Linked DNA regions of Macaca fascicularis. The protein of the gene in region 2 purifies or fractionates together with the protein of the main gene of each other region. This does not show direct contact. Links are inferred from orthologs where the notes say so. Each region holds a gene or a part of one and is shown on either strand. Other genes may lie near its edges.

The links.
Region 1: the proteins of MAP4K5 (region 2) and CRK purify together in Homo sapiens (affinity purification with mass spectrometry; 4 studies listed by BioGRID and IntAct, with this or other methods). This does not show direct contact. The link is inferred for Macaca fascicularis from reciprocal best matches to the Homo sapiens genes MAP4K5 and CRK.
Region 3: the proteins of MAP4K5 (region 2) and CRKL purify together in Homo sapiens (affinity purification with western blotting; 3 studies listed by BioGRID and IntAct, with this or other methods). This does not show direct contact. The link is inferred for Macaca fascicularis from reciprocal best matches to the Homo sapiens genes MAP4K5 and CRKL.

Annotation. Positions count from the first base shown.
Region 1 is NC_088390.1:1,562,535-1,566,746, reverse strand, and holds the start of CRK (adapter molecule crk), read left to right. Parts: upstream 1-1,287; 5' UTR 1,288-1,431; coding exon 1,432-1,672; intron 1,673-4,212. UniProt on the Homo sapiens protein: Involved in cell branching and adhesion mediated by BCAR1-CRK-RAPGEF1 signaling and activation of RAP1.
Region 2 is NC_088381.1:118,371,200-118,374,845, reverse strand, and holds part of MAP4K5 (mitogen-activated protein kinase kinase kinase kinase 5), read left to right. Parts: coding exon 1-78; intron 79-437; coding exon 438-496; intron 497-2,751; coding exon 2,752-2,855; intron 2,856-3,246; coding exon 3,247-3,424; intron 3,425-3,646. UniProt on the Homo sapiens protein: May play a role in the response to environmental stress. Appears to act upstream of the JUN N-terminal pathway.
Region 3 is NC_088384.1:31,891,497-31,895,855, reverse strand, and holds the start of CRKL (crk-like protein), read right to left. Parts: upstream 2,926-4,359; 5' UTR 2,400-2,925; coding exon 2,089-2,399; intron 1-2,088. UniProt on the Homo sapiens protein: May mediate the transduction of intracellular signals.

The DNA.
Region 1 (4,212 bases), on a different chromosome or scaffold from region 2:
CAGGCGTGAGCCACCGTGCCCAGCCAGATCTGTATTTTAGAAAACTCAGTGGGAGCTGTTTGCAGTGCAATTAGAGGCAACCAGACGAAAGGGCACCAGCGAGCAAGCCACTCATAGGAACACAGTCCAGAGTGACCATGACGGCAGTGAAAGTAGGAGATGCCCCTGGCTACAATTTAGTGTTTAGAAGTATCTGGGCAGGTGACCCCAAAGCCTCAAAAGAGAGGAGAACTCTGTACTTCACGTGGCTTGGCACACTCTGCTCCCTTTGCTTTGAATGTCCTTCCCCTTTTGTCATTCAGCAGTCAACACATGCTACCTCCTCTGGGAAGCCCTCTTGGATTACTCCGCAGACTGGATGGAGGGGGGCTCTGCTCTGTGTTCATGTCCGTTTCCCATGATAGCGCTTGTCAGCATTTGTCATCCTTTTGTCATGCAGTTTCCTGGTTCCTCTCACTGGTGTGTGAGTTTGAGGAGTGCAGGGCCCAGCATCCATCACCTTTGCACCCGCAGTGCAGGTGGAGTGTCCATAACAATGTCCTGAATGAATCAATGAAAATGAGAACGTCAGCCGGCCTGTGGAGAAGCTAGAGGAACGAGAAGAAACAGACCGACATGGCCGGGAGCGATGTTTCTCGCCTGTAATCCCAGCACTTTGGGAGACCGAAGCGGGTGGATCACCCGAGGTCAGGAGTTCGAGACCAGCCTGGCCAACATGGTGAAACCCCCGTCTCTACTAAAAATACAAAAATTAGCCAGGCGTGGTGGCGCTCGCCTGTAATCCCAGCTACTTGGGAGGCGGAGGCAGGAGAATCGCTTGAACGCGGGAGGCGGAGGTTGCGGTGAGCCGAGATCGCGGCACTGCACTCCAGTCTGGGCGACAGAGACACCGTCTGAAAAAACAAAATAAGAAAAAGAAAAGAGAAACAGACTGATATCCCAGGAAGCCTGGCCGAGAACTGAGGCCCCAGGGCCACACGCGTCTTTTCTCCTGCAATCCTGTCTGGGAGCCGCCGCCTAGAAGTCCCGGGCAGTCCGGGAACGCGAGCCTGAAGCAGCACCGCGCGGTCGGCGGCGCAGGCGCACGTCTCTGCGGGAGGCCGCGAGGCCCCGCCCCCGGGCCCTAGACCCCGCCTCCCATCCCCCTCATCCCCGGGCCGGGCAGGGCGGCACCGCCCATGAGGCCGCATGCGCAGTGCGCGCGCGAGGGCGCCTTGCCCTTCTCCCAATGGCGGGCCGCGGGCCCCTTCCCGGCAGCCTCCCTCGGGCAGGGAGCGCGTCATTTCCGGTGGGGAAGGCCCGCGGCTGCCGCCGCCATTTCGGGCGCTGCTGTGAAGCTGAAACCGGAGCCGGTCCGCTGGGCGGCGGGCGCCGGGGGCCGGAGGGGCGCGCGCGGCGGCGGCACCCCAGCGTTTAGGCGCGGAGGCAGCCATGGCGGGCAACTTCGACTCGGAGGAGCGGAGTAGCTGGTACTGGGGGCGGTTGAGTCGGCAGGAGGCGGTGGCGCTGCTGCAGGGCCAGCGGCACGGGGTGTTCCTGGTGCGGGACTCGAGCACCAGCCCCGGGGACTATGTGCTCAGCGTCTCAGAGAACTCGCGCGTCTCCCACTACATCATCAACAGCAGCGGCCCGCGCCCGCCAGTGCCGCCGTCGCCCGCCCAACCTCCGCCGGGTGAGGGACTGACGGGACGGGGGGCCCTGGGCGGGGTGAGGGCCGCGGAGCTCCCAGCCCGGCTGGCTGCTCCTTGAGAGCGGACCCTCGGGGTCGTGGGCAGAGGGCTGGGTGACCGTGGCAGGGGCCCGCCGGCTGCTGGGGCTCATTCCCACCCGGGGAACAGGAGTGTGGGGGAGGAGGAGCCGCGGACCGAGGCCCCGGGGTGTGCCTGGGAAGGGCAGCCCCGGGGAAGGGGAACTGCTTCGGCCCCAGGGTGGGGCTGGCTCCCGGGCCAGGCGCAAGGGTAGGGCAGGGCAAGGCAACGTGGGGACAAAGAGCTGAGGGAGATGTTGGCACTGCGGGGGCATCACTTGGCAGCGGCGCCCAGAATGAATCCGATAATCCTACAAGTGGCTTTTGGGCTGGAAGCGTTTCCTGCCGTGTTGGAGAGCCGGGTTTGGCCGTGCTCCCCTGGTGGCCTTTGGTAGGAAGTCACCACAAACTGGCCGGGAGGGATGGAGACACCCTCAGGAAACCGGTTAGTTTTTTCCTTTCTTGGGCATTTTTCCAAAATCCTTGTACCGTCCTCTTCCCCCGTGGAGGACGAAGGTGGTGAATTAAGTGATAGAAGAAAGCCTTCAGTGACCAGCCCAACCCAGTTTAAGGCGATGCCTGGCTGCGTGCAGGACATCTAAGCGTCCAGAAGACTGTCCGCCGGTAGAGGGTTCTGGTTTTCAAAGTGTTTAGTGGAGGAAAGACATTTTATTCCAGAGAATAAACCAGAAATGAGGCAGTGGAAACAGACCCTTCCCTGGATGTGACTGGAGCTTCATTTTCCTTGGACTTAAACATTGTCAGTGTGTACTTCAGGGCGTGACCTTGCTCAGTAAGATGGGGCTGCGGGCTGAGTCTTCCTGGATGCTGGGAACAGACTCTACGCCAAGAACATAAATTACCTGCGCTGGGTTTTTCTTGCCAGGGATCCCTGAGATTGACTGTCTTTCCGATGCCGTTGGAGTTGATTTGGGAGTGTTTCAAGGGAATAGATAGATGCCCTTAGTACTGGAGATTTGTGAGGTACGAAGTAATTCTGGGGTTCTCATTGTATGTGTACCTGTTTAACAGCATCAGGAGTCCTCGTGCCTTCACACTGTTGCCAAGTCGAAGCTGTTTCTTCTTGGCCGCTGAGACTGGGTTCAGACTAGTCTCCTATGAATCAGGAAGCTCCTGAGCCATCCTCTCTAGACTTTCTCTTGTAGGATCGTTCTAATTTAGATTTACTTGTTCCGGCCAGAAATGGAGAATTGAATAGCCAGTCTCTTTGTTATTAACACATACCAATTTTTATTTTACTTTTTCCTGAGACGGAGTCTCGCTCTGTCGCCCATGCTGGAGCGCAGTAGCACGATCTCGGCTCATGGCCACCTCCACCTCCCCGGGGCTCCCGGGTTCAAGATTCTCCTGCCTCAGTCTCCCGAGTAGCTGGGATTACAGGCACCCACCACCACAACCAGCTAATGTTGTATTTCTAGTAGAGACAAGATTTCACCAGATTGGCCAGGCTGGTCTCAAACTCCTGACCTCAGGTGATCCACCCTCCCAAAATGCTGGGATTACAGGTATGAGCCACCGTGCCTGGCCAACACATAACCAATTTTTTTCTTATTTTATTTATTTATTTATTATTTATTTATTTTGAGACAGAGTCTCTCTCTGTCACCCAGGCTGGAGTGCAGTGGCGCCATCTTGGCTCACTGCAACCTCCGCCTTTTGGGTTCAAGTGATTCTCCTGCCTCAGCCTCCTAAGTAGCTGGGATTACCAGTGCCTGTCACCACGCCCATCTAATTTTTGTATTTTTAGTAGAGATGGGGTTTTACCAGGTTGACCAGGTGGGTCTTGAACTCCTGACCTCAGGTAATCCACTCGCCTTTGCCCCCTCAAAGTGCTGGGATTACGGGTGTGAGCCACCGCACCCAGCTTTGTTTGTTTGAGGCGGAGTTTCACTTTTGTTGCCCAGGCTGGAGTTCAGTGGTGTGATCTCAGCTCACTGCAATCTCTACGTCGTGGGTTCAAAGGATTCTCTTGCTTCAGCCTCCCTAGTAGCTGGGATTACAGGCACACGCCACCATGCCTGGCTAGTTTTTGTATTTTTAGTAGAGATGGGGTTTCACCATGTTGACCAGGCTGGTCTCGAACTCCTGACCTCAGGTGATCCGCCCGCCTCAGCCTCCCAAAGTGCTGGGATTACAGGTGTGAGCCACCACACCCAGCCCAACACATAACTATTTTTAGAAAATGAGTATGGGGTCTATAAGTTCACAAATTATTGTAGATCTTTCTCATTCTGGCCAGTTTAATGGTGTTATGAGATGGGAATATTGATGTACCTGTGTTGGCCCTGAACCAGATATATGCTACTTTGATGCCACCTGCGTGGTATCTGGGGTTTTGCATTATATGTAGTAACATGATGGCAAACTTACTGAAACTCACTTTTCAGCCTTTTGTTTGTGTTTGTTGGTTGCCAGAGTTGAAAATGGCAGCCGGCAGGTTTGTT
Region 2 (3,646 bases):
TTTGTTTGAACATGCCAAAAAACCAGGATTAGCTGCCCATATTCAAACTCACAGGTTTCCAGACCGCATACTACCAAGGTATAAAATATCATTTTGATTCTACTGAATGAGGGGAATTAGTGTTTATTTTAAAAATAGCCGGTATTTCTTGCCCAGTAAAAAACTTCGTCTTAATTTTCAAAAGTAGTTTACACTAAAGTGTATTATATCTGGAAAAGCTGAATGTTTTCTGAACTTGACCATGAGAATCAACTGTGGAAGTTTTATAATACAGACTATCAGGCCCTTCCTCAGTCCTGTAAGGTCAGATAGTGTGGAGTTAGGATCCAAGACAGTTTTTTAAGCTCCTTTCTGTCTGATTCTGATGCAACTGATTTACAAATCACTTTATTGTAACCACTACTGTAGAGTACATTTATATTGTCTTATGTTTTCAGAAAATTCGCTTTAACAACAAAGATTCCTGATACAAAAGGCTGCCACAAATGTTGCATTGGTGAGTAAATGGTATTTCTCAAACTGAATGGTTAGAACTTTTAAGATCTTTAAAATTATCTGAAGAGTCTTATGGAAACAAATAGGAAGGAGGGTAGGTTTTTAAAATTTGTTTTTAATAAGAAGTTAAGCTGCCATTGAAGTACAAGAATATAGACAGACATGGCATAGAAATGCTTAGAGATAAAAACCTTAGTGTTTTCTCAGAGCATAGTGTTCCTAGAGTTTTGTAACCATAGTTCCTGAGACTGTTTCTTTGCTAATATTCTAACTTTCATTTATTTAATATTTGCCATCTACCAGTTACTACCCATGTTTTATGAACATGTTTACAGGAGTTGAGCCAACTATGCAGTTAGAAGGAACAGTTCACACAAAAACAGCCTCACTTATGATACCAATTGCAAATTGGGGGATTCCCAAAACTACCCCCAGAATAAAAAAATTCACTAGAAGGTATCACAGAACTGGAAGCAGTTATACTCATAGTTACGATTACAATTTAGAACAGGGAAAGAATACAGATTAAAATCAGCCAAGGGAAGAAGTACATAAGGCAGAGTCCAGTAGAAGTACCAAACATGGAGCTTCTGTTGTCCTCTCCCTGTGGTTAATGGATAGCACTACTTTTCCAGCATTGGTATGTGACAGTACACACAACCATTGCCAACCACAAGCTTATTCGAACCTCAGTGTCCAGAGTTTTTACTGGGGCTTCATTATAAAGGCGTGATTGATTGACCACCTTGCTGATCTCAGTATGCAGCCCCACTAGAGGTCATCTGATGTTGCATGACCCAAAGCCCTCACCCAAAATCACATTTTTGGTATTTCTGGCATGACCAGCCCTCACATTAAGACTATCCAGTGTGGCCAGTCCCCACCCGAAATCATTATTGTTATATTATCCAGTGACCAGAGTCCCCCAGACAAAGACAGTCCTGTCAAGCCTGACATTCCAAAGGCTTAGCAATTACCTCCCAGAAGCAGGACAGAGACCAGACCTCTTTTTGTGTGAGGTTAAATTCTTTACTACATAATTACCTCATTTAACCATTAAACAACTCCATAATACTAATTATGTCACTAGTAAGTAACAGAACGTAGGAATCAGATTCAGGTTCAGTGACTTCAGATCTTGAGTTCCTAACTTCCTATTTATTCTTTTGTTTGATCAATGAACTTGCACATTGATCTTTGTGCCACATAATAGTTTCACAGCATAGTCCATACTGTAAAACAAAAATGTTTAACCACAAATGTGCTATAAATATAAGCACATTGTATGATTATTTTTCTGGGGAGAATCATGTCAATATCTATTATCAGATTCCCAAGATCTGTGATGCACAAAAGGCCTAGAAGCTTACAATCTAAGATATAAACTCATAAATAATACTTTAGAGTTTAATGCAAATAACTATTCTTATAATAAATGATTATAATTATTAATGGAAATCAAATTTGGGAGAAGGAATGAGCAATATGAATTTTTATAGATTTGAGTCCAGGATGTTATATCAAGATGAATTAATATATACAAGATGAATTATTTTCATCTTAAGTAGACATCTGTACCCTACTATACCAAAACGAGGTGCTTTTCAGTTGCCTCCTAGACCTTGTCAGAACTCATTCTTGTAAATTTTCTTAGTAAATTCAATTTGAATTTACTAAGAAACAGCTTTTTGGGGAGGCCAAGATGGGAGGATTGGTTGAGCCCAGGAGTTCAAGACCAGCCTGGGCAACATAGTGAGACCCCATCTCTTAAAAAAAAAAATTGAAAAATTAGCTGGGCATGGTCGCATACACCTATAGTCTCTGCTACTCAGGAAGCTGATGTAGGAGGATTGGTTGAGCCTGGGAGGATGAGGTTGCAGTTAGCCGTTATTGTGCCACTGCATTCTAGCCTGGGTGACAGAGCAAGACCCTGTCTCTTTAAAAAGAAAAAGAAAGAAGGAGGACGGGAAGGAGTGAGGAAGGGAAAAAAACAGCTTTTTAGGTTGCATATTAGGTTGTTATTGTGCTTGTAAAAAGTTCTTATGTTTAAGAACCTAGTATATGAAAGTTGTTTAGAAGTAAACATATATAATTTAAAATCTAGATAAGAAAGTAAAACGGAAAAGGCGACGAAGCCAAAAGAAAAGACACAATCTTTTTTTATTTTCCACCCACTCTTGTCATCCTAGTTAACAGATACAGTAAAAGTATTCAGTATTTTGAGTGTGTCTGGGTTTTTTGTTTATTTCTTTCCAGTCAGAAACCCTTACACGGGACATAAATACCTCTGTGGAGCTTTACAGTCTGGAATTGTTTTACTTCAGTGGTATGAGCCAATGCAGAAATTCATGTTGATAAAGGTATATATTATTTTGTTCACATTTTTCTCCTTTAGAAAACACTAGCGTATAACTGAAGCTAAAATTAAAAGATCCCAATACTACTATCTAGGGTCAGAACATTTATAGTTATTTGTAGTTGTTTATTTGATTTAGGGCTTTTTGTGTTCTTAGGATTTAATCTTTAACTGATATTAATAACTTCCAGAACCATCAGTCATAAAGATAAATATGGCCAATTCTCGAAGACACATTTTTATAGACCATTTATCCTTCTTATCATCTTAGAGGTAATCCTTTTTAGAACTAGATAAATGAAGAAGATGGGAGTCTTTCTGTTGAGTTTATTCAACAATGGTATGAATGGGGAGATTGTTTCTGAATTATGGCTCTCTTGTTTATTTTTTTGCAGCACTTTGATTTTCCTTTGCCAAGTCCTTTGAATGTTTTTGAAATGCTGGTGATACCAGAACAAGAATACCCTATGGTCTGTGTAGCGATTAGCAAAGGCACTGAATCGAATCAGGTAGTTCAGTTTGAGACAATCAATTTGAACTCTGCATCCTCATGGTTTACAGAAATTGGTGCAGGTAAGTATTTTTTACCTTATGTTAGAATATTGATACTTTTGTGTATAAAAGAAGCAAAACACCAGTGTGGGCTCTTTTAAATATTCAAAACAGTTTCCCAAGTAAGCCCATAGAATCGTGTACATATATTTATGATCTCTATTTGCCAGAGGTAGTTTGATACAAATTATTTAGACAAAGGAAATTTTTAATGATTTCTGACAGTGGAAAGTCTTAGTTGTT
Region 3 (4,359 bases), on a different chromosome or scaffold from region 2:
CCTCAGCCTCCCCAGGAGCTGGGATAACAGATGCCCGCCACTACGCCCAGCAAATATTTTGTATTTGTAGTAGAGACGGGGTTTCACCATGTTGGTCAGGCTGGTCTCGAACTCCTGACCTCGTGATTTGCCTGGCTCGGCTTCCCAAAATGCTGGGATTACTGGCGTGAGCTACCACACCCCGCCATTAACTCGCTTTTTGAAACAGCTGTATTATTAGTATTCATCACCTCAACGTAAGTACATGCATGGCTTAATGAATGCCTGGTATTAATTATATAATTCACTCTCACAAACGAGATGAATAATTTATTCAATCATACTACAAATCTCACTACAGTGGGTTCTAAGATTCTCAACCCCTTAAATTGGAATTATATTGTGCTCAAAGTTGACTGCAACTACCAGCATCTGCCAGGAACCGCATGTTTCACCAATCAGATTCTTGGTGTCCTGGTCTTTGTTATACAGTATTTGATTTATAATCACTTTCTGCCCACTTTTAAAGTCCATTTAGTTCAGTAGTTAATCTTAAAGTCATTATACTATCATGGCTTCTTTTTCTATCTCTATCTCACTATGCAAACAGTTCGTGTCCTTAATTATAATAGCTTTTAATGTTTAAAGTTTAGAGTAATACCCGGTCGACAAATCCATAAAGTCATAAACATTTAACCCTGGAAAAACTGCATCAACACCCAATCCTTTTAAAACAGATGTTTAAGAAATGAACTGGCCAGTTTGTTACTTTAAAAATTCTAGGCAACTTTTCAACTCAAATTTGGGATAATTTAAATAAAAGAAACCTCTGATAAAATCAAAGTGTTACAGGGCAAACACAACAATAAAAACAAATCTTTGTTAAAATGCTTAAGGCAAATTAAAGCAACTAATCAATTAAAATAATGTATTTCACTTGGAAAAGAGACTACTTGGTCACTTTGCATTAATTTAAAAATAAGAGATACTAAGTCATTAGACTTAACACAAAAAGCACGTCTGAAATTGAACTAGGATACAACTCAGTGTAATTCAAAAATTTTCCTTAATAACATTTTAGCCTAATTCCACCTTGGAAATTAATCAGACTAATCTCTGGCCTACTAATGGTCCTTGGGGAGAAAATATTAAATACATTTTCCAAAAATATCCTCGCTGAAGCCAATGCACCTTATCTTTGTGATTAACGTACTATAAAAGTGGTGGTGTCTGGCCTGCTTCAAACTTGGCACCACAGTATCAAATATATAGTTTTGATATTTTGGTTTCATTTTGTCGACTGTTACAAAGGCTGCAGTCCTGGAGTTAACCTGGAGTTCAGAGATTTGGAGGGAGTACAAGAACCTGGGATAGTGTGCAAACTTGTGTGTACGTGCCTTTGGCGAGGAGGGGTGGGGCTTGGGTGGTGAGTGCTCGGCTATCTCCAGATTCTCAAAGAAGTCTATGGCTAAAAACGGTTTTTGGCCGGGTGCGGTGGCTCATGCCTGTAATCCCAGCATTTTGGGAGACCAAGGCAGGGGGATCATGAGGTCAAGAGATCGGGACCATCCCGGCCAAAATGGTGAAACACCGTCTCTACTAAAAATACAAAAATTAGCTGGGCGTGGTGGCGTGAGCCTGTAGTCCCAGCTACTCGGGAGGCTGAGGCAGGAGAATAGCTTGAACCTGGGAGGCCCTCGGAGGTGGCATTGAGCCGGGATCGCACCACTGCACTTCAGCCTGGCGACTCCGTCTCAAAAAAAAGGTTTTTAGGAAAACCAGCAAATCCCTGCATCAGTATTACACCCAGAGAAAGTCACGAAAGGCAAAAAGCGTGCATTTTATGCCACCCCCGTTAAACATTTAAAACGCATCCTCCTGACATTGAGAAACAGCCTCATGAGGAAAACACAAAAAACAAAAACGCATCCTCTTATCCAGTGACCTAGATCCTGACACTAGCTTTCCATTAGGAAGGCCTTCTGGAAAATAATTTGGTTCAGAATGGGGGGAATATGGGTTCAAGCGCGCCCCACCTCCCTACACAAACACCCTTCGACCGACCCGGTTATCGACCTTCCTCCGCGGTCGGGGCGGGCTCTCGCGTACCTGGGCGCGGGTTCGATGAGAGTGGTGGTGTCCAGGTAGTGGATCTTGTAAAACTCCAACAGGGCCGGCAAATGGTCAAACTCCTGGTCCCCGATCTTAAAACGGCGGTTGGGCAGCGAGTTGATGATGTAGTGGGAGACCCGCGAGTTCTCGGACACCGACAGCACATAGTCCCCAGGGCAGGTGGAAGAATCGCGGACGAGGAACATACCGTGGCGCTGGCCCTGGAGCCGGGTCTGCGCCTCCTGGCGAGACACCGGCCCCATGTACCAGGCGGAGCGGTCCGAGGAGTCGAACCTGGCAGAGGACATGGTGTCGGGCCGGGGACTCTGCGGCGGTAGGGGCGGCGGCTGTCCTCGCCTGCTCTGCACGCCTTAGCCCGGCAGACGGCTTTGGGGCCGAGGAAGGGCCTCTCGCACACCTCGAGGAGCGCTCAGAGGGCTGGGCCAGCACTTTCCTCTCGGCTCCAGGCCCGCAGCATCCTCCAACGTCGCCCGCCTGCTCCGGGGCCGCCTCACGGAGAGCCGCCCGGGAATGCAGGGCAGAGCCGGGGGGTCAGGGCACGCAAAGCCGAGCCGCAGCTGAGGCCACCCCGGGGTTCTCGGGCTGCTCGGCGTCCCAGGGGTGCCTCCAGTGACTCCCGGCCTGGAACGCGCCGGCGTCGCAGCTCCACGGGTCTTCACCGACCCCCGCCGTCACACGAGGCACCGAACTCGAAGGAGCGTCGCGCCTCCGGGGTGGTTTTGCCCAGCTCGTTCCCAATAGCTACAGCAACAAAATGGCGGACGCGGGAGAAGCGGCAGCCACCTCCCCCTGCGCTCAGCGCGCTCCGTCTGCGCACGCGCGGAGCCCCGGCTCCCGGCGGCCGCCGGGGCCCTTCCGTGGCGTCACACAATGCTGCCAATGAGGAGCACCGTCACGACGATCTGGGTGGGCGCTGGTCGCGCCCGCTCCCGCGTTCCGGGAGGAGGCTGAAGAGGCGCCGGCGGTAGGCACTCTCTTCCTGGGCCGCTGCGCGCCGCTGGGGGCGCTGCGGCTGCCGGGTCTCCCAGCGCTGGCAGGAAAACAGCTGGAGCCGAGAGGGAGCGGCGTGTCGAAAACCTGCTTCTGGGAACAAAGCGTAACGTGCAGGCCGAATCGCGGGCCAGGGAGGCGTGGCACTGAGGCGACCTGGCCAGCCTAGGGGCCTGAGGGAGCTCAAGAAGTGACAGGTCACGATGGGCCGAGGTGGCCCAGTAAAGGGATGACCCCAGGGGCAGATGTGACTACCAGATAGGTGACTGAATGACTCAGTCCCCAGGTGGCTTGATAGGCTAAGGAAGCCCTAGTGGCTACGTGACCCGCTAAATGGAGAGAGAGGAGAGAGAAGGTGGGGGTTAGATTGACTCAATTAAGTAGTCAAGGCAGGCCACAATTGGGTAACCTGGCCATCCAGGGCTTTGAACTGTTGAAGGTAAAATGCAAACGCCTCTCGGGCGTGGCCCGGAGGCTTCGCCTGCCCTGGATTATGCCTGCTTCTCCCTATTTATTAATCCCTATTTGTTTTTGTTGTTTTCTATTTTTATTTATTTATTTATTTATTTATTTATTTTGAGACGGAGTCTCGCTCTATCCACAGGTTGGAGTGCAGGGGCGCGATCTCGGCTCACTGCAACCTCCGCCTGCCGGGTTCAGGCGATTCTCCTGCCTCAGCCTCCCGAGTAGCTGGGATTACAGCCATCCGCAGCCATGCCCTGCTAATTTTTGTATTTTTAGTAGAGACGGGGTTTCACCATGTTGGCCAGGCTGGTCTCAAACTCCTGACCTCAGGTGATCTGCTTGCCTCAGCTTCCCAAAGTGCTAGGATTACAGGCGTGAGCCACCGTGCCCGGCCTGTTTGTTTTATTTTGTTTTTGAGACAGGTTCTCCTTCTGTCACCCAGGTTGGAGTGCAGTGGAACTATCATGGCTCACTGCAGCCTTGATTTCTGCATCTCAAGGGATCCTCCCACCTCAGCCTTCCGAGTAGCTGGGACTACAGGCTCACGCTGCCATGCCCAGTTAATTTTTTTTTATTTTTAATAGAGACGAAATCTCACTATGTTGCCCAGGCTCGTCTCAGACTCCTGAGCTCAAACAATCCTCCCCCTCAGCCAAGATGTGAGGCGCCCGGCCCAGCTATGTATGAAATAAGCTAATATATGCAAAGTGCTTAGAATAGTACCTGGCACATAAGCATCATATGAGTCTTCCATTATTATTATTCACTCGTTCCCTGGGCCTGTACCTTTAT